Linked DNA regions of Sus scrofa. The protein of the gene in region 2 interacts with the protein of the main gene of each other region in a biochemical or structural test. Links are inferred from orthologs where the notes say so. Each region holds a gene or a part of one and is shown on either strand. Other genes may lie near its edges.

Region 1 (4,114 bases), on a different chromosome or scaffold from region 2:
ACGGTTAAGGGCCTAGACTTTTGGGAAGCCCCCCCCCCGCCATGCCCTCCAATGCCTAGATTGGAGTGGGGAGGGCTCCGACGGTTTCCACTCCAATTCTGGGAAGCACGGTTGGCTTGGCCTCAGCTGTAGGAACACTGAGGGCAAGTGGTGGAAACTCTTCGGATGCCCCCCTCCCCAACTACCAGCTAATCGTTCCTATAAATACAGCTCAGCCTTGCCTGGCATCTTAATCCTGACAATGAGGGAGGGGATCGCTACGGGAGCGGCAGGACTCCCCGAGGAGGCTCTGCTTGCGAAGCGGGGTGGTATATGTTTTTCTTAGGGGGCATCTCCGGTGACGACCGGTCTCCTCATATAAATGTCATGGTAGGGAGTTCCTGTTGTGGCTCAGCGGGTTACAAACCCGACTAATATCCATGAAGACGCGGGTTCGATCCCTGGTCTCGCTCAGTGGTTTAAGACTCTGGCGTTGCCATGAGCTGCGGTTTAGGTCACAGATGCGGCTCAGATCTGGTGTTGATGTAGTTGTGGTATAGGCTGGCAGCTGCATCTCCGATTCTACCCTAGTCTGCGACCTTCCATATGTCACAGGTGCGGCCCTAAAAAAAAAAAAAAAAAAAAAGTCACTGTAAATGTATCTTCTTGGGATGTGGGGTCTCACGGGTGGGGACAATTTCCCATAGAGGAGATGGCTTTTACAGGGTCTTTTATTGTCATCGGGCGTACTCTCAACAGGCTCCCCAAGCGAAATACCACCTATGGGGATCTTTCTCTGCGGAAATGTCTTCTTTGGAGCATGGGCTGTTGAGAGGAAGCATCATTTCTTACAGACCACTTGTTTTAGAAATGATTTTCAGGGTGAGAGGAGAGTTCCTGACTGGCGAGGGCCTCTCTCTGGAGATGATTTCCCCACTGGATGTGTTTCCCTGAAGGGGGTCACGGGAGAGGGGGGTTCTGCATAGGGAATATATCTAGTGAGAATGTCTCCCTTGGCGTTTTCTTGGGTTAGTTTACCCATAAGCATCACTCTCTCCTGGCGTGTCTACCCTTACACGGGTCTCCTGGTAGCTTGGCTTCTCTGGGGGCATCTGTAAGGCTCCTCCTCCAGTCTGCCCCCTCCTCCTCAGCGCGGGTAGCCTGGGCCAAGGCCCGGCTCGGGCGCCCAGACGCAGTGACGGCGCCGGGTCCGCCCCACTTCGCTCCGCCCCCGCCACCTCCTCCCCGCCCCCCAGCCGCGGACGAGGTCCCCGCGACTTCTCACTCCCTCCCGCCTCCCTCCTCCCGCCGCCGCCGCTGCCGCCGCCTCCCACCTCCCTCCCCGGGGCCGGAGCCGCCGCCGCCGCCATGGACGATTCGGGCCTGATTCGTCGCCGGAGGCTGCAGGTACGCGGCGGCGCCGGCCCTGGGTGGAAGGGATGGGGTCGGCGTCCTGGGGCGGGGCCCGCAGGAGGCGGGAGAACTTAAGCCAGTGTCGGCCCAGGCGCCCACTCCCACGGCCTCTGGACGCAACCTGGGGGAACGCGGTGGCTGCGCGTCCAGCCGCGCTAGGACCCCGCCCCTCAGGCGCCGCCCGGAGAACCAGGGATCTGATGGAGGGGATGCAGCCTAGCGTTCCCCTTCGAGTATAGCTCGAGGGGAGCCTGGCCCGTCAGAGGTGGAGGGGACTTGGGTCGAGGTCTTTGCCCAGGAGCCCTGCCAGGCCGGAGGTAAGGGGGAGCAGAGCAAAGTTATTGCCCCAGGGCTCGCGCCCCTCGGGGCTGCCGGCGCCGCAGCAGCGGTAAACATGTTTGTGCCGCAGCCTGGCCCCTTCACCAGCCCAGGAATCTCTTTCTGAGGCATGGGGACCTCTGCGACCTCCATGCACCTACTCAGCTACCAGGATTCTTCCTACTGCCCTAATTGGACAGGCACCTAGGCAGCCTCCCTCCACACTCTTCATTCCACCCCCCTCCACTACAACACTGTCCCTCTCCGCCCCCACTCTGCGATCCTCAAGTCCAGCCCAGCTTGTGGGTGGGCGGGAGCGATTTTTAGCTTCTTACAGCCTTAGAAAATGTTGGTCTCCAGGCTGCGCAGGCGCGGGAGGCATGGGTCCACTGTTCAGAGTGGGACACTGAGGTTTGTTGTGGAGCATGGGGAAGGTGAGGACAAATCCAGGTGTCAGGAACTCTTATTTCCTGGATGGGTGGAGATTCTGAAACTGGGAAGGGTTCTCTTTGGTTTGCATCATGCACTTCTAAGAGTTAATTCAGGGAATCGGTGTTGCCCCCAGACTGACCCCAGAGAGGAAAAATTGATCAAAACTTCATCCTATCTGGCATCTAGTTCTTCTGAGCCTCCTTGAAGCCCAGTCCCAAGCTAGGTAATCTGGAGGAGTTTGTATAAAGCCTACAGTGGGAAGTTCCCATTGTGGCTCAGTGGAAACGAATCTAATATCCATGAGGAGGTGGGTTTGATCCCTGGCCTCTCTCAGTGGGTTAAGGATCCGGCGGTGCTGTGAGTTGTGAGTGTAGGTTGTAGATCCAGTTCGGATCTGATATTGCTGTGCTATGGCTGTGGCATAGGCCAGCGACTACAGCTGTGATTCTACCCCTAGCCTGGGAACGTCTATATGCCGCGGGACAGCCCCAAAAAGACAAAGAAAGAAAGAAAGAAAGAAAGAAAGAAAGAAAGAAAGAAAGAAAGAAAGAAAGAAAGAAAGAAAGAAAGAAAGAAAGAAAGAAAGAAAGGAAGGAAGGAAGCCTACAGTGGGCCCAGTCTCAGGATACATCCCTAGCCTGGAGCTTGGGAAGAGAAGGAGAGGATTCAAACCCTCACCAAAAATGGACGAGGCCATTTGAGACTGTAGGAAGGACTTCCCAGGCGTCTAGATGATGCTGGAGCCAGACCTGAGTTTTAACCAGAGTCCAGATGGGCTCTTCATGTCTTCCTCGTACTGCCTCCCCATTCTGGGGCTGAGTTAGGAGAATGGGTTCTGATAAAAGGGAGCTGCCACAAACCCAAAGCAAATCTGAAGCAGACAGATTGGGTCCGCGCCTTCGGGTCCCAGAAAAGGGCGGAAAGGGGCGGAGCCTACATGGGGTGTGTCGCCGACCCCTCCTCCCCACCCCGCGCCGACTCCCATTGGCTCAGTGCCACGCGGGACTTCGTTCTCCCGCGCAAGACCCCGCCCCCAGCCCGGGATCCTCCCACTCACCCCTAAGTCCTTCCCCAGGCTTCCAGGCAGAGCTATCCCGCCAAAGTCCTGCCCAAACCTCTTCCTCTGGTAGGGTTAACCACTTCGCTGCCTGGATACACTCGCACACCTTGTGCAACCCCGTAGGAGCTGTCCCACAACTGCGGAGCGCCCGAGGATTCCCTCTGTGCGGGTGGGATAGTACACCAACCTAATTTCGAAAGTCTCATCTGCAGAGCCATCCATTCATCCGGGGATTTGTAGAATGCGCCTGGCACAGTGGCTCTGCAGCTCGGGGTGGAGGTGGCGGCTGTTTACACTCAAGTCAAGGATCTAAATCTTCGACCCTAGAATGTTTAGGGACACTAGGAAATGGGGCTAGATTCGAGGACTTTTCTAGGTGGGATTTAAAGTTTTCTCTGGGGTTCACCTTCGTAGGCCAGTGTACCCCAGTCTGGAGTACAGTGTTCTGTGGCCGAAAAATCCAGGTCTTAGTTTTGATTGGGTCACTGCAGTCGCTTGGCCAGGCTGGCCTGGTCCAAGTGGCGGCTCATTCAAGCTGGTTCTGCAAAGACAGATGGAAAACCCGGTATGGATTTCCGGTCACCCCTGGCTCACCCAGTATGGATTTACGGTCACCCCCGGCTCGGGATGGTAGGACTGCCAATCTGGACAGTGTGCCCTTTGACCTCGACCATCCGTCTGTCCTCTGTACATGGGAATGTGAGGTCCCTCTGGCATATTTCCTGTCATGCAGCATGTCCATCCACAATAACTCCTGTTCCTATGACCTAATATTTATTGAGCGCATACTATGTGCTAGGTATATAGTAAGGTGCTAGAGACCTGCATCATCTCTCAGGATCCTCTAGAAGGCATGGACTATTGGAAGGTCATTTTCCAAGGTTATAAGTGGCAAAGCTGGGAATTGAACCT
Region 2 (3,987 bases):
CTTTCTTTCTTTTTAGGGCTGCACCTGCAGCATATGGAAGGTCCCAGGCTAGGGGATGAATTGGAGCAGGAGCTGCCGGCCTACACCACAGCCACAGCAACAAGGGATCCAAGCTGCATCTGCAACCTACACCATAGCTCACCATAGCACTGGATCCTTAACCCTCTGAACGAGGCCAGGGATAGAACCCTCATCCTTATGGAAACCAGTCGGGTTCGTAACCCTCTGAGCCACAACGGGGACTTCCCTCAAGCCTCTTTTCCATGCTGGTCTCTCTCTCTCCGTGGAGTGTATTTCCTCCTCTCTGCTTGGCCCACTCCTGTTCACCTTCAGGGCCCAGCCGGACGACCCTGCCTTCTTGGGCCTCCCGTTGGGCGGATAGGTACAGTCTCTGCACACCTCCAGCACCTCGACTGTAGCTCTGTCACAGGACAGTTGGGTTTTGTCATTGTGTATTTATTTTGGAGAGTCCAATCTGCCTTAACATGTGTGCCTCCTAGTGTTTGGCTCCCCTGGGGACAGAGCAAGGGACCAATAGCTGTGAGTGATGCCCAGCAGGGAGCCAGGCTGGCAGGCCTTGTTGGGGGTGGGGGGGAGCGGTGTGGATAGGGAAATGCTTAGTGTAGGCTTTGGAAGCAAACAGATTGATCTTGCTCTGAGCTCTCTGCCTTTCTAGCCATGTGGCCTTGAGCAAATCACTTTCTCTCTGAATTTAGTTTCCCCATCTCTGAAATGGGATGAGAGTATTTCCCTTGGAGCTAGTACACAGGGCCTGGCAGAATCCACACCAGCAAAAGGAAGGAATGGCTTCATGCAATGAATGCTCAGTTAACAGGCACACTTCTCATTATCACTCCATGCTAATCGCTCCTCCATCAAAGATGCCTGGGAACTAAGGACCCCTCACCCACCCAGAAGCATGATGGGTGATGCATCTGGGGACACCTGTCCCACGGGAGGGGGCATCTCGGGGAGGGGCTGTTGGTGTCCGTTAGGGCCAGAGATTAGCAGGTGGGCTTGGGCTGCAGCTGCTGGAGGGAGGCCCGGGGTGGGGACCCTAGGGGCCAGGGATCAGGCTGAGGGGCTCTGGGCTTCTGTCCAGCTGCCTTGTGGGCGGAAGTAAATAAGAGGAAGTGTCTGTAGGGGGAGTGGGGCAGGGACCAAGGGGGTGCGGCCTGGTGCTGTCCTCCCTACTCCTGCCACCAGAGGCCTCACAGGCCCTGCACATACCCTTTGGCAAAGGCAGGTCCAAGGGGGCTTCCTTCCTGTTGCCCCTTGCTGTTCCCTGCTAGCCCTGGAGAGTCTTCCTTTGCTTCTAAGGGGGGCAGGGGGGCTGCTGGGAATTTTAGGGGTGCCAGCACCACCCCAGCCTCCAGACAAAGCTGGAGTATGAGAGGCCTCGGTCTCAGGAAGCCTCTTTCACAACACCCAGCAGGCCATCGTCAGACAGTTAGTGGAGGCCCTGTGAGGCTGGAAGGGGAAGTTCGCTGTGCGTGGGGGTGTGTTTCCACATAGGGGACGTCTGTGGAAATGGTTTCCGATCATCGGACTGTGGGTATCTGTGTGTGTGTCAGTTCCTGTGGTACTGGTGTGACTGATGTGGGGAGGCCATGTGGCAAAGGCCTGGGCCTGGTCACCCCCTGCCCCACGGCTACCTGCTCTTCCTCCTCAGGCCTCTGTGACGTCTGTGCGGGGGCCTCTGCCCCCTCGCCTGTCCCGGGGCCCTGGGCTGGCAGGCTGCTTTGGGCAGGGCTGGGTGTGGTGGGGCCTGCCCGGCAGGCTGCCGTTGGGGTGGGCCCAGCCGTGGGAGGGTCACTACAGGAGGAGGAGTGCCCGTGCTCTGAGCAGGGACAGTCAGAGATGGTGGCCTTGTTGACTTCTGCCCCCCATCTCTCCAGAGGATGTTTGTGGGGGTGGGGCGCCACTCGGTCACCACCCCGTTGCCTTGGGACATCAGAATATGTTCCAGTCCCCCTGCCTTAGGATCAGGGGAGACGAGGGATGGGGTGTCTCTCTGGGCCCCCACCCCTGGGAGTCACGGTCTTGGGGTCCGCAGTGTCCCCTCCACAGCAGGGCAGCTTAACCCATCTTCTGTCCCTCCTCCCCGCAGAGGGGGAAGTGAGAGGGAAGGGGTCAGGGACCCTGCCTTCTGGGCCAGGAAAGCTGAAAAAGCAGAAGTGAGGGGAGTAGCTGGGCCCTCTGCCACCGGCCTGGGCCCCACCATGCAGACCCCGGCAGATTTCCCCTGGGGTGAGAGAGACTCACTCCCCTATCCCAGAAAGGTGAGCGGAGGGTTGGCCTGCCTCCAGTCGTGTCTGTCACCATGACTCTGGGCAGGGAATGGGCTTGGGGGTGGCTCTGTCCCCTGGGGGTTCCGGGTGACTGCCTCTGTCCCCAGGGAGTGTTCTCAGTCAGAGGCAGACAGACAGGTGGAAGCTCAGCCCTCAGGGCGGGGTGGGCAGGGGTTGCTGTGCGGCTTTGCCCCCCACCCCCAGCCCCTCTCTGAGCCAAGCTTTCCGCCTGTCCCACCCACTGGGTTACACTCCGGGGCCTATTGAGCCTGCAGCTTTCTGTGCCTGCAGCTTTTGTGACCGGTCAGGTCCCCTGATGATGGGACTGTGTCTCCGAGGGTCAAGATCTCGAATGGGAAGTCCCCAGACTCCCTGGTTGAGGGAGGGGGCGGGCTAGGAAGGGCAGGTCGTGGCTCTGGCTGACTTACCTGCCCACCCTTTCCTGGCACTTGAGGCCTGTTGACCGCAGGCCAAGTGGTAACCAGGGGAAGAACTTGGGTTCGAGCCGTCTCTGCCACCCGTTCACTTTGGGCATGGGTGAGTCACTGCCTTGTGAGCCTCAGTTTCCTGTTCCTGAAATGGGGGATGACAACGCTGGGATATTTGGATGGAGTCAAAGCCATCAGATTGCACGCAGGAGATGTTCCCCCTCAGTCCAGCAACTTAGGCCTGGGCCCCCCTCAGACCCTGGCATGGGAAGGAAACCCCAAAGAAATGGAATTAAGCAGGGATGGGTCTGCCACAAGTACCAGACTGCTCTCCCAAGGGCTGGGGCCTGGCGGGTGATGTCCCCTCCTGCCCCAGACAGACCAGCAAGAACCCGGAGCTCCGCCCTTAAGGCCAGAGTCTGACTGGGAATCTGTGTGTCTTTCCTGCCTGTGTGTCTGCCCTGGTTATCTGTCCGTCCCTTGGGCCTTGCTGATGCCAGCTGCCTCTGTCTGCTGCTCACCTGCCTCTATTGGCTTCCTGGCTCTGTGTCCACTTCACGAGTGCCTGTCTTCACCTGTTGGGTACATGTCACGTGCTGGGTGCCTGTTGGGTCGTGTCCCCTTCTGTCTTGGCCTGTCGAGTCCATGTCCCCATCTGTCTCCACCTGTTGGATACAAGCCCCCATCTGCCTCTGCCTGTTGGATCCCCATCTGTCTCTGCCTGTTGGGTACACGTCCGCATCTATCTTTGCGTGTTAGGTCTGTGTCCCCGTCTGCCTTTGCGTGTTGGGTACAGGTCTGTCCACTTCTGCCTGTTGGGTGTGAGTCCCTTCCTGCCTCCGCTTATTGGGAACATGTCCCCATCTGTCTCTGCCCATTGAATGTGTGTTCTTCTGCCTCTGTCCTTTGGCTTCTCCCCATCCCTGTCTGATGGGCACGTGTACTCTCCCACCTGTCTGCCTTCAACTGCCTTCACTCGGTGGGTGCCTGCCCCTGCCAGTTGGGTACCTATCAACTCAGCAGCTGGGTTGGCATGGGGCTTTCCCTCTGCAGGCCCACAGGGAGGATGGCAGGGGGAGGGCCAGAGGGCAGCCCTCAGGCAATGGGGAGGTGGGGGGGGAGAGAGGAAGGGAACGTGGTAAGAGAGCTAGGAAACCACAGGCCCTGAGTGATTGGCGGCCCTGGGCTGGGCCCAGCCCCCGCCTTCACCCTGCACATCCGCCTTGGGCCTGACCACCTCCGCAGCAGCCCCGGACGCTGCCTGCTCC
Region 3 (4,144 bases), on a different chromosome or scaffold from region 2:
GGAATACCATTTAATATTAGTTAAGCCTTGTTTTGATTACAATGCTATTTAAAATGAAACTATGAGAGAGGAATATTTTGGGAGGGAAAAATATCACTTGCCACTTATTAAATTGAGATTTTTAAAAGCCGAAGAAGAGAGGGAGGATTTATAAGTTACAGGAGACCTTTAAATGTCATATTCACTAATATATAAATGTAAACACAGAAAAATGTTATGTCTGGTAATAATAGTAAACTGATCAATACCATTACATTATGGGAATCTGTGATATTATAAATTATGCTTTCAGTCCAGAATATCAATAGCTTTTTAACATCTTTTAAAATCAAATTACAATGCATTAAATATGATAGAGTTAGTTCCCCATATGTTATTTACAAACTTATATAGCTGACTTCTATTACTTGGACAGCTCCAGGTACTAAACTTCTAAATACAGAAGGTTTTAGAAATAAATTTTTTTAATAATGATTAAAAAATAAGTTTATCATCTCAGTAAAATAACCCTTCAATGAGATCTATTTTAATAATTTGTCTAGAATAATGCTGCTACTTTTAACCTTAGCTTACTTTCAGAAGTTAGGGAAATATGATTTCAAAGACAACTTGAAACTAGTTGTGTAATTCTCAGTTTTTAACTGAATTATACAATATAAACAGCACATGCTACTGTAACAATGGAAAAAAAAACTTTTGAATGGATACTCAGTTTTATTAGCCACTTTGATATTTTTTCACTTTTTGCCTCAATTCCATTAGTAAACCATCCAGCTTTGGAGATGATATTTAATATATTAACAGGCCATTCATTATGCTCTTCTCCAACTCTTGACTGTTCAGAGCAGCTCACACATGTATTCATCCAGACAATTTTTTCCTGTATAATAACTCTTAGTGGAGGCACAGAAAGTGCAAAGATTTTCTTGGATGCCTCAACTGCATATTTAGAAGAAACAAAATTGCTTTTATGCCTTGGGTAACCTAGAAGACATTAAAAGAAATTACCTCTTCCTATCATTAAATTGCCCAACGCATTAATTCTGCAGTTCCCACAGCACGAGAACAAACATTAAGAGAACAAATGGCCTCTAAGGCAAGAGTTTATGACTTGTCCTGTTTGAGGAGGATTTGGGGCAAACAAGATGTCCCAACTAAGGATTCAGAAAATGGAAAGATGCTCTTGAATGCCTCCAGTTAAAGGTGCCATCGAAGAAGACGGAGAGGCCCAGCCTGTTAGCCAAACACCTGTGTTCCAGAGTCCAGCTAGGTCTTCTGAACATGCACTGCAGATTAAACACTCTTCCAGAGCTTCACTTAATTTTCTTTTGTTCCTGACTTCAGGAACAGAGCTGGGGAATAGTCTTGGTCCTCATTTCAAAAGTCACTCCAGACCTGACACAGTCTACACATGTCCACAGAATGTGTGATGTTAAAGTAAAACCAGCAAAGTGTAGACCGGTTGGTGTAAAGCAAACAGCATCCTTCCATCTGACATCCTGCATAATCATTATGGGAGGGCAGCCCAGGAGGCTGAAATTCCAAGGGCCCAATCAGTTACAACTTCTGAGTGTCTGTTACTTGAACCAATCAACTTTCTAGCCCAAGGAGTAGAAGCGGAGCAGGCCTCTGGGCAGGTCAAAAATCACGCCTGAGGTGAGCAGCACCTTCAACCTTTCCCTAGAGATCTGTTCACTCAAACAACTTCTAAAGCAGTCAATGCTTCACAAATTCCAGGGGCCATTCCAATCACCTGGAAGCTTGTTGAAAAGCAGATTCTGAGGCCATGAGTTTGGACTAGGGCACCAGAGGGTGCATTTCTAACGAACCCTCCAGTGATTCTGATGCTGCGGTTCTTCCCACCATCCACGGAGAAGCAAGGCCCACAGTCGCCCATAGATACTCAGGTCACTCATATTAGCAACATACAAAAGTTGAGGCCACAGGTCTCGACAAATCAAGCACCCGGGCGCTCTGCGTCCCCAGGGCTTCCCACCCTGTCCTGGGGCACCTGGCAGGTGCCAGGGCCGCGGAGCGCTCCCAGGTGACCCGCCCGTGGCCGCGCCCCTCCTCCGCCCCGCCCGCGCGCCCCCAGCGCCGCGCCCACCTTCTCCCGGGTCTTCAGGTATCGCTGCAGCGCCTGCTGCGTGAGCTCCCGGACGTGCAGCTGGCCCTCCTTGCAGGGCACCACGATGCCGGTCTTACCGAAGCACACGGTCACTTTCATCCTGGTCTGCAGGCGACCACGCCGGGCCGGCCGAACAGGTGTCTAGGCCGGCGGACACAGCCCTCACTTTCCGGGGGCGCCCTGCGAGGGCGGGCACGGAGACCCGGGCGCCTCTCCCCAGCGCCCCTAAGGGCCGGGAACTCAGAGCAGCGCCCTTTCGCCGCGGACTGGCGGCCGCCGGCGGGCGGGAATCAGGGAGAAGGCAGCAGCGGGAAGGGCTACCTCCCAGGTGGCGGGGGCTCGGGGACCCGGCGGTCCCGGGACCGGGATGCCCCTCTTGCTCTTGCTCCGGCCCGGCCCAGGCAGCTGCTCAGCGCCCGCCAAAGCGAAACTGCCGGCCCAGCCTGGCCCTCGCCCTGGCCCTGGTGGCGGCAGCGGCGGCAGCCGGGCGGCCGGCCCCAGGCCCCGGGCTAGAGTGGGCGGCGGCGGCGGCGCGCGGGGCCGGAGTTGGGAGGAAAGTTTTGCGCCGGATCCCAACTCCTCCGCGGCGCGCGGCGCTCTAGGCTCCTGCGGCCCTGGGGCCGGCCTGGGCCCGGCTCTTAAAGGGGCCGCGGCGCTCCCCGGCCCTGCCGTGCACTCAGTGGCGCGGGGCGGGGGCCGTGCGGGGCGGTAACTGGAGCCCGGAGACTCGTCCCCTCCCTCAGTCTCTCCCTGGCTCTGTCCCTCCCGCTCACACATGGAGTTCTAGGGAATTGTAACGGGACCTCAGAACTCCCCACCGGGGGATTGAAACCGGATCTCATAAAGTACACTCGAGGGAATAGCTGGGAGCTGCAGAGCTACACCCTTAAAACGAGGGGATTGGAGCAAGATTCGAGAAGAGCCGGGGAGCAGGTGCTTCTCGCCACGCCCACAAATACTCCCCAAGGCTGAAGGCTCACAGGTACTGAACTGCAGGGTTGGCCCCAAGGGCCTATTAGGAACTTGGTCCTAAGGACAGCTTCTCGCCTGCTCTCTGAAGCCCTGAGACAGAAAAACTGAAGGGATTCTTGGAGACAACGTGGGATTGGAACCGTTAAGGATGAGAACGCTCAGTATTCCCCCAAAGGTTACATTCAGACCCAGATATGACTGCATGTGTTCACATATATCCTTCTGAAATGTGCTTCCTGTTGTTTGTTTAACTAGAAAAAAAAATTAACACGTTTAGGTTCATGATTTCGGCAGGTGTGTATCCATCATCAAATGAAATTGGCATATCTTGGGGGGGGTGTCAAAAATAGCATTTGTACCATTCTTAGCTCACACATCAGTGAGCTTCTTTGAGCCTAATAACAAGTTTGTAAAGTAGGAATTACATTTCTCATATTATCGTGAAAGAACAGTACCCAGGGAAGTTAAGGGAATGAACTGACCATGGAATTAGTTATGCTAAGAGGAACTTCATTCTTCCAAACCTCTCCCACACCGTTTTCTTACAAGTTCCTCTAGGCTACATCATGCATTTCTCTAAATTAAAAAAAAAAAAAAAAATTTCCTATGTCAAGATGCACTTAAATTGAACTTGACGTGCCTATGACAGTAAAACAAAGCACAGGAGATTAAATTAACAAACTCATGGGTTTTGAGAGGTTATATTTGTTAATTCATACATGTCATATATATATATAATATGGTATGTACAGGGCCTTTTATCAGGTCAATGGCATCAAAGAGGATCATGCAGACTAAGTTGATTTGAGGAAGACATATATTAGTATTATTCTGGTCACTAATCCAATGCAAACTAACTTAAATAAACTGAAGACAGGATCTATTTTCTTATAAAATCAGAAGAGCCAAAGAGTGTTCCTTTAAGGCAGATTGAATCCAGAAACCCAAACAATGTCCTTAGAGGCTATTTCTTTCCATCTCTTGGCTCTGTGTCCCTCTGTTGCCACCATTCTCAGGCTCTCCCCAAAGGGGGCAAAGATGGCC
Region 4 (4,195 bases), on a different chromosome or scaffold from region 2:
ACAACTAGAAATTACAAAAAAAAAAAAAAAAAAATACTTTCCTATCTAACATCACTAAAACCTACAGAATCCCAAATACTTCATAATCACTACCATATTTATCTACAGGCAATAATTTAAAATAAATGCATAAATATGCACTTAATTTTCTGAAATTCTTGTCTCTTAAAGTGAGGTACTGTTTACTGCCATGAGCTCACTACCAAAATCTCTAAAATACCTGAGTTTTAGACATTTACCAATGATACACATCAAATGTCTCTAACTGTAGTTATTGCTTCATGAAGAAAAAACAAGCAATAAAAAATTGGTTCCCATATTGGAACCTCTGTAAGCTTTTTATACATGAAAAGTTGGCAATAATTTGTTCACAAACAGTAGGGAAACTTCATAATATCTGAATTAATTAGTTGAAAGATTAAGTTTATCACTTTTGAAAACTCCCAGTACCTTTAACAAACAGGGCCATCAAGTGCGCATTTTCTACAAACACCTTGGAAGTACTCCAGATTTGTGAATTTAATCTAAAAAACCCACAGAATACTAAGAAAAATATCCAAAATTTGAAGCCATTTTAAAATATTTTTATGACCATTTTTTAAACTTATTTTCAAACCACTGTCAAATTTTAAACAAAACTTTGAAAAATATTTACAGTTTGACAACAGTATAAAACCTAAAATTCATTAAGTTAATCCAGTGCTAAACTAATAAAATAAATAAACCTCAAAGTAAATTTTGCCTTGTTGAGGGGAAAAAGGAATCAAAGACAACTACAAAGGTGAACATCTTTTAAAACATGTTGTCTGCATCTATACATACTATGCTCCCTCAAGAAAAAAAATCAAGAGCTATATCTAACAACAGGCATTTAAATAGGTATTTTTGAGGACTATAATACTTCTTTCAAGTAAAATTTCCTAACACAGAGAAAGGAACACTTTCGCAAAGTGATAATTCTCTATAAAAGACTTGCTCTATTAAGGCTTTGTTGCTCTGAAGCCAAGTATAAACCATATAAGGAAACCGAAGTTCAATGCCATTTATTTTGTTCCCCTCTTTCAGATGCCCAAGAATAACCTCTTTCGTTGCCTAATTTTAAGTTCTAAAATCATAAAGTAGATCACTTACATACTTTAAATTATTTGATAAAGCTACTTTCACTTAATAGGAATTACTTGATGGTTCACAAAATCTTACCAACAATTTAAAAAACTACAAAATTGTTTTTAAAAAGGAGCTCCAGAGACTAAGCTCCAAGAAAAAAAAAAATCAAAACAATATATAGTAATAGTTAAAAGACCCCCTTTTTGAAACATACTTAATTTGAAGTAACAAAGAAAAAGTTGTGAAATTATTTGAACCTACTGTTTAAAACCTACCTTGTCTCTTTTTGGAACTAAAGAAAGCCAACCATTTTTCTTGTGGTGGCAAGGGCAAATAAATATTAATTTACATTTAAGATATATCTACAAACAAAATACCACGTTTATTTGACATTTATTCAAGAGCAGAGTTTATCTTTTACCTCCCTTTACCAAAAAAGCACGGGGGGGGGGGAACCAAACTTAAAAAGACACTCATTAAAAACACCACAGAAGAAACCGTCTGTGTCTGCAGCAACCAAAACTAGTTTGATCTATAAAGACTACCGACTGGTTCAGAAGTGTTTATATTTATAACTGACTGGTGGAATGTCACCGTGCTTCACTTAATCCCTGCCCCCACAGCAGATACTCATCACTTATTAGGTGGCAGACCCGGTCAAAACATTTGGGCCAACAACAACAAAAAAATGTAAATAATGTGCTAACCAAAAAGCACAGCTATTTATCACAATCACTGTGATGCCCATGAACACTGTTTTAAGCGTTTTACTTCCTTTCCTATACATTCAGTTCCGAATTGCACAGAAGTCCTAACAAATCAAACCACTTACAGGCATTCATGTTTGCTTTTTAATCATCACTCTTTAGCCGTAACACTTTTTCTCCCTACTAGGTCAGTTACAAGAAAAATCTTGTAGACAGTAGCTTGTAGACAACACCAAACAAGTATTATAAAGTTATAAATGTCCGAAAAGAACAAGTTACTGAAGACATATATATTACCCACCTGAAAAAACGACTAAGAACGGCAAAGAGTTTTTTGTTTATAAAACCCAATGAAACACAGTCATAAGAGTTGGAACTAAATAACTCCATATACATTTAAATGCAAAAGCAAAATAATCGGTAACAGTATAAACAAATACTGTGGCAGCCATCTCAACAGCAGCCGATTGCTCGCCGCAGTGACCTAACTTTCATCCAAAACAAAAGTTGTCAGGTTCAGCAACTTAATAAATCAAAAACATACATTGTATATGTTCCGGGAAACTAAGATTTCTGGACCTTCTGCTGAACAAAGGCATTCTTTCCTCGGAATTGCTTAAAACTTTTCGTCCCACCGCATTCTTACAACCTCTTCTAAAATGACCAGGGTCCAGATGGTAGAAAGGAGAATAAAATCAGTTCTACTGCTTTGCACCTAAATCACTACCCCGTCCGACAGGAGAGAGGGAGAATTTAGGGCAACTTGAGAAAAAGTGGAAAACACTAAAGTTTCCTCTCTTTCCTGGCCGGGGAGCTTTGTGACTCGCAGACACTTTGGGTGAAAATTACCTTTCGGTCGGGCAGTGTCTCAGGACAGCTTTTTCAAGGCTTCGCCTGACATGATTTCCTCCCCTTCATTAGTCACTTCGGATCCAGCCGAATTTCTCTCTCCGGTGAGAGCGGATGTGGAGTGGCCTCCCGCAGTAGGAAGAGTAGGTGGCTCCGGTGGGGGTTGGGAAGCGGGCTGGCTTCCTGGTCTCGAGTTTTGCAGGAGTTTCCCAGCCCCAACTAGGATCTCCGTCGAAAAAAAAACTTTTCACTCGTGACACCGCCCGGAATTACCGTGCGAAACTCACTTCCTGCCTTGGCGAGCAGCAGGATCCAGCTCGGTCCAGGGGAACCCGGAAAACCAGCTCCACGCGCGTCGGGCGGGGGAGGGCAGGGGGCGTCAGCCGAGAGCCTGGGACTCCGGGCGACCCGCGCGCCCCGATATCCGACGGCAGGCGAACCTGGCCCGCGGGGGCAAAGATGCCACCGGGGCGCTGGGAGAGCCTCTGCCGCGCTAGGCCGCCGCCGCCTCCTCGCCGCCACCCCCGGAGCCGGGCGGCGGGGTTATTGTCTCGGTAGCGCCTGCCGCGCCCTTCGCCCGCGCGGCCGCAGCCGCGGCCGCCCGGAGCCCGAGCCGAGGGGCCGGGCAGGCTCGATGGCGGCCCCCTCCCCCGGCCGGCCGTCGGGCTGTCCGTCCTTCCGTACGTCCCTCCCCGCCTTCCTTCCCTGCCCTCGAGCCCTCTTCTCCTCCCCCTCCTGTTTTCCCGCCACCGTCCCCTCGCTCCCCTCCTCGTTCTTCTTCCCTGGCGGCGGTGGCTCCCCCGGGAAGCGCAGGGGGTGGGGGCAGGCGGCGGCTTCGTCTCCTCACAAGCTCGCGGGGCCGCGGCAGGGGCCGAGACTGCGTCCCGCGCCGCCGCGCCACATTCACTCGAGCGAGAGACTGCGAGGGGCGGGGAGGGGAGGGGAGGGGAGGGGAGGGAGGGAGCGGAGAGAAAGGAGGAGGAAGGGGGCTGGGGCGGAGGGGAGTTACTGCCTCACAGGCCGCGGAGGCAACAGCGCCACCGCCCCGGCGGCGAGGGGGGAAGAGGCTGCGCGCGGCGGCGGCTCCGCGGCGGGGGCGGGGCGGCCTCCCGCCCGCTTCGCCCCAACCTCCAACAGCCGGGCTGGAGGCCGGCGCGAGCCAGTCACCGCGCGCGGGGGCGGTGCGGGCCGACGTCGGTGGCGGCGGGGGGCGGCGGCGGCAGCGGGGGGTGATAGTCTTGGGGGCCCGGGAGGCGGGGCCGGCGGCCGGGGGTTCGCGAGCTAGGTCCGGCGTGAGGCCAGCTCTGGCCCAGGCCCGGGAGGCCTGCGTGCTGCTCCCCAGCCGCCCAAGGTGGGGATGCGGGCGAAGTCGATCCCGGCTGCCCTGCGCCCAGCCTGGAAGAAGAGAGTCCTTGGAGTTTCCGTCGTGGCGCAGTGGTTAACGAATCCGACTAGGAACCATGAGGTTGCGGGTTCGGTCCCTGCCTTGCTCAGTGGGTTAACGATCCGGCGTTGCCGTGAGCTGTGGTGTA

The links.
Region 1: the proteins of RPS6KA1 (region 2) and MAST1 interact in a test that uses a peptide from one of them, tested with the Homo sapiens proteins (2 studies listed by BioGRID and IntAct, with this or other methods). The link is inferred for Sus scrofa from reciprocal best matches to the Homo sapiens genes RPS6KA1 and MAST1.
Region 3: the proteins of RPS6KA1 (region 2) and PARD3B interact in a test that uses a peptide from one of them, tested with the Homo sapiens proteins (2 studies listed by BioGRID and IntAct, with this or other methods). The link is inferred for Sus scrofa from reciprocal best matches to the Homo sapiens genes RPS6KA1 and PARD3B.
Region 4: the proteins of RPS6KA1 (region 2) and ERBIN interact in a test that uses a peptide from one of them, tested with the Homo sapiens proteins (2 studies listed by BioGRID and IntAct). The link is inferred for Sus scrofa from reciprocal best matches to the Homo sapiens genes RPS6KA1 and ERBIN.

Annotation. Positions count from the first base shown.
Region 1 is NC_010444.4:66,181,489-66,185,602, reverse strand, and holds the start of MAST1 (microtubule-associated serine/threonine-protein kinase 1), read left to right. Parts: upstream 1-1,313; 5' UTR 1,314-1,347; coding exon of another isoform or gene 1,348-1,386; intron 1,387-4,114. UniProt on the Homo sapiens protein: Microtubule-associated protein essential for correct brain development. Appears to link the dystrophin/utrophin network with microtubule filaments via the syntrophins. Phosphorylation of DMD or UTRN may modulate their affinities for associated proteins.
Region 2 is NC_010448.4:83,915,972-83,919,958, forward strand, and holds the start of RPS6KA1 (ribosomal protein S6 kinase alpha-1), read left to right. Parts: upstream 1-1,185; 5' UTR 1,186-1,901; coding exon 1,902-2,282; intron 2,283-3,848; exon of another isoform or gene 3,849-3,987. UniProt on the Homo sapiens protein: Serine/threonine-protein kinase that acts downstream of ERK (MAPK1/ERK2 and MAPK3/ERK1) signaling and mediates mitogenic and stress-induced activation of the transcription factors CREB1, ETV1/ER81 and NR4A1/NUR77, regulates translation through RPS6 and EIF4B phosphorylation, and mediates cellular proliferation, survival, and differentiation by modulating mTOR signaling and repressing pro-apoptotic function of BAD and DAPK1.
Region 3 is NC_010457.5:107,881,114-107,885,257, reverse strand, and holds the start of PARD3B (partitioning defective 3 homolog B), read right to left. Parts: upstream 2,802-4,144; 5' UTR 2,228-2,801; coding exon 2,108-2,227; intron 1-2,107. UniProt on the Homo sapiens protein: Putative adapter protein involved in asymmetrical cell division and cell polarization processes. May play a role in the formation of epithelial tight junctions.
Region 4 is NC_010458.4:44,414,595-44,418,789, reverse strand, and holds the start of ERBIN (erbin), read right to left. Parts: upstream 2,802-4,195; 5' UTR 2,664-2,801; intron 1-2,663. UniProt on the Homo sapiens protein: Acts as an adapter for the receptor ERBB2, in epithelia. By binding the unphosphorylated 'Tyr-1248' of receptor ERBB2, it may contribute to stabilize this unphosphorylated state.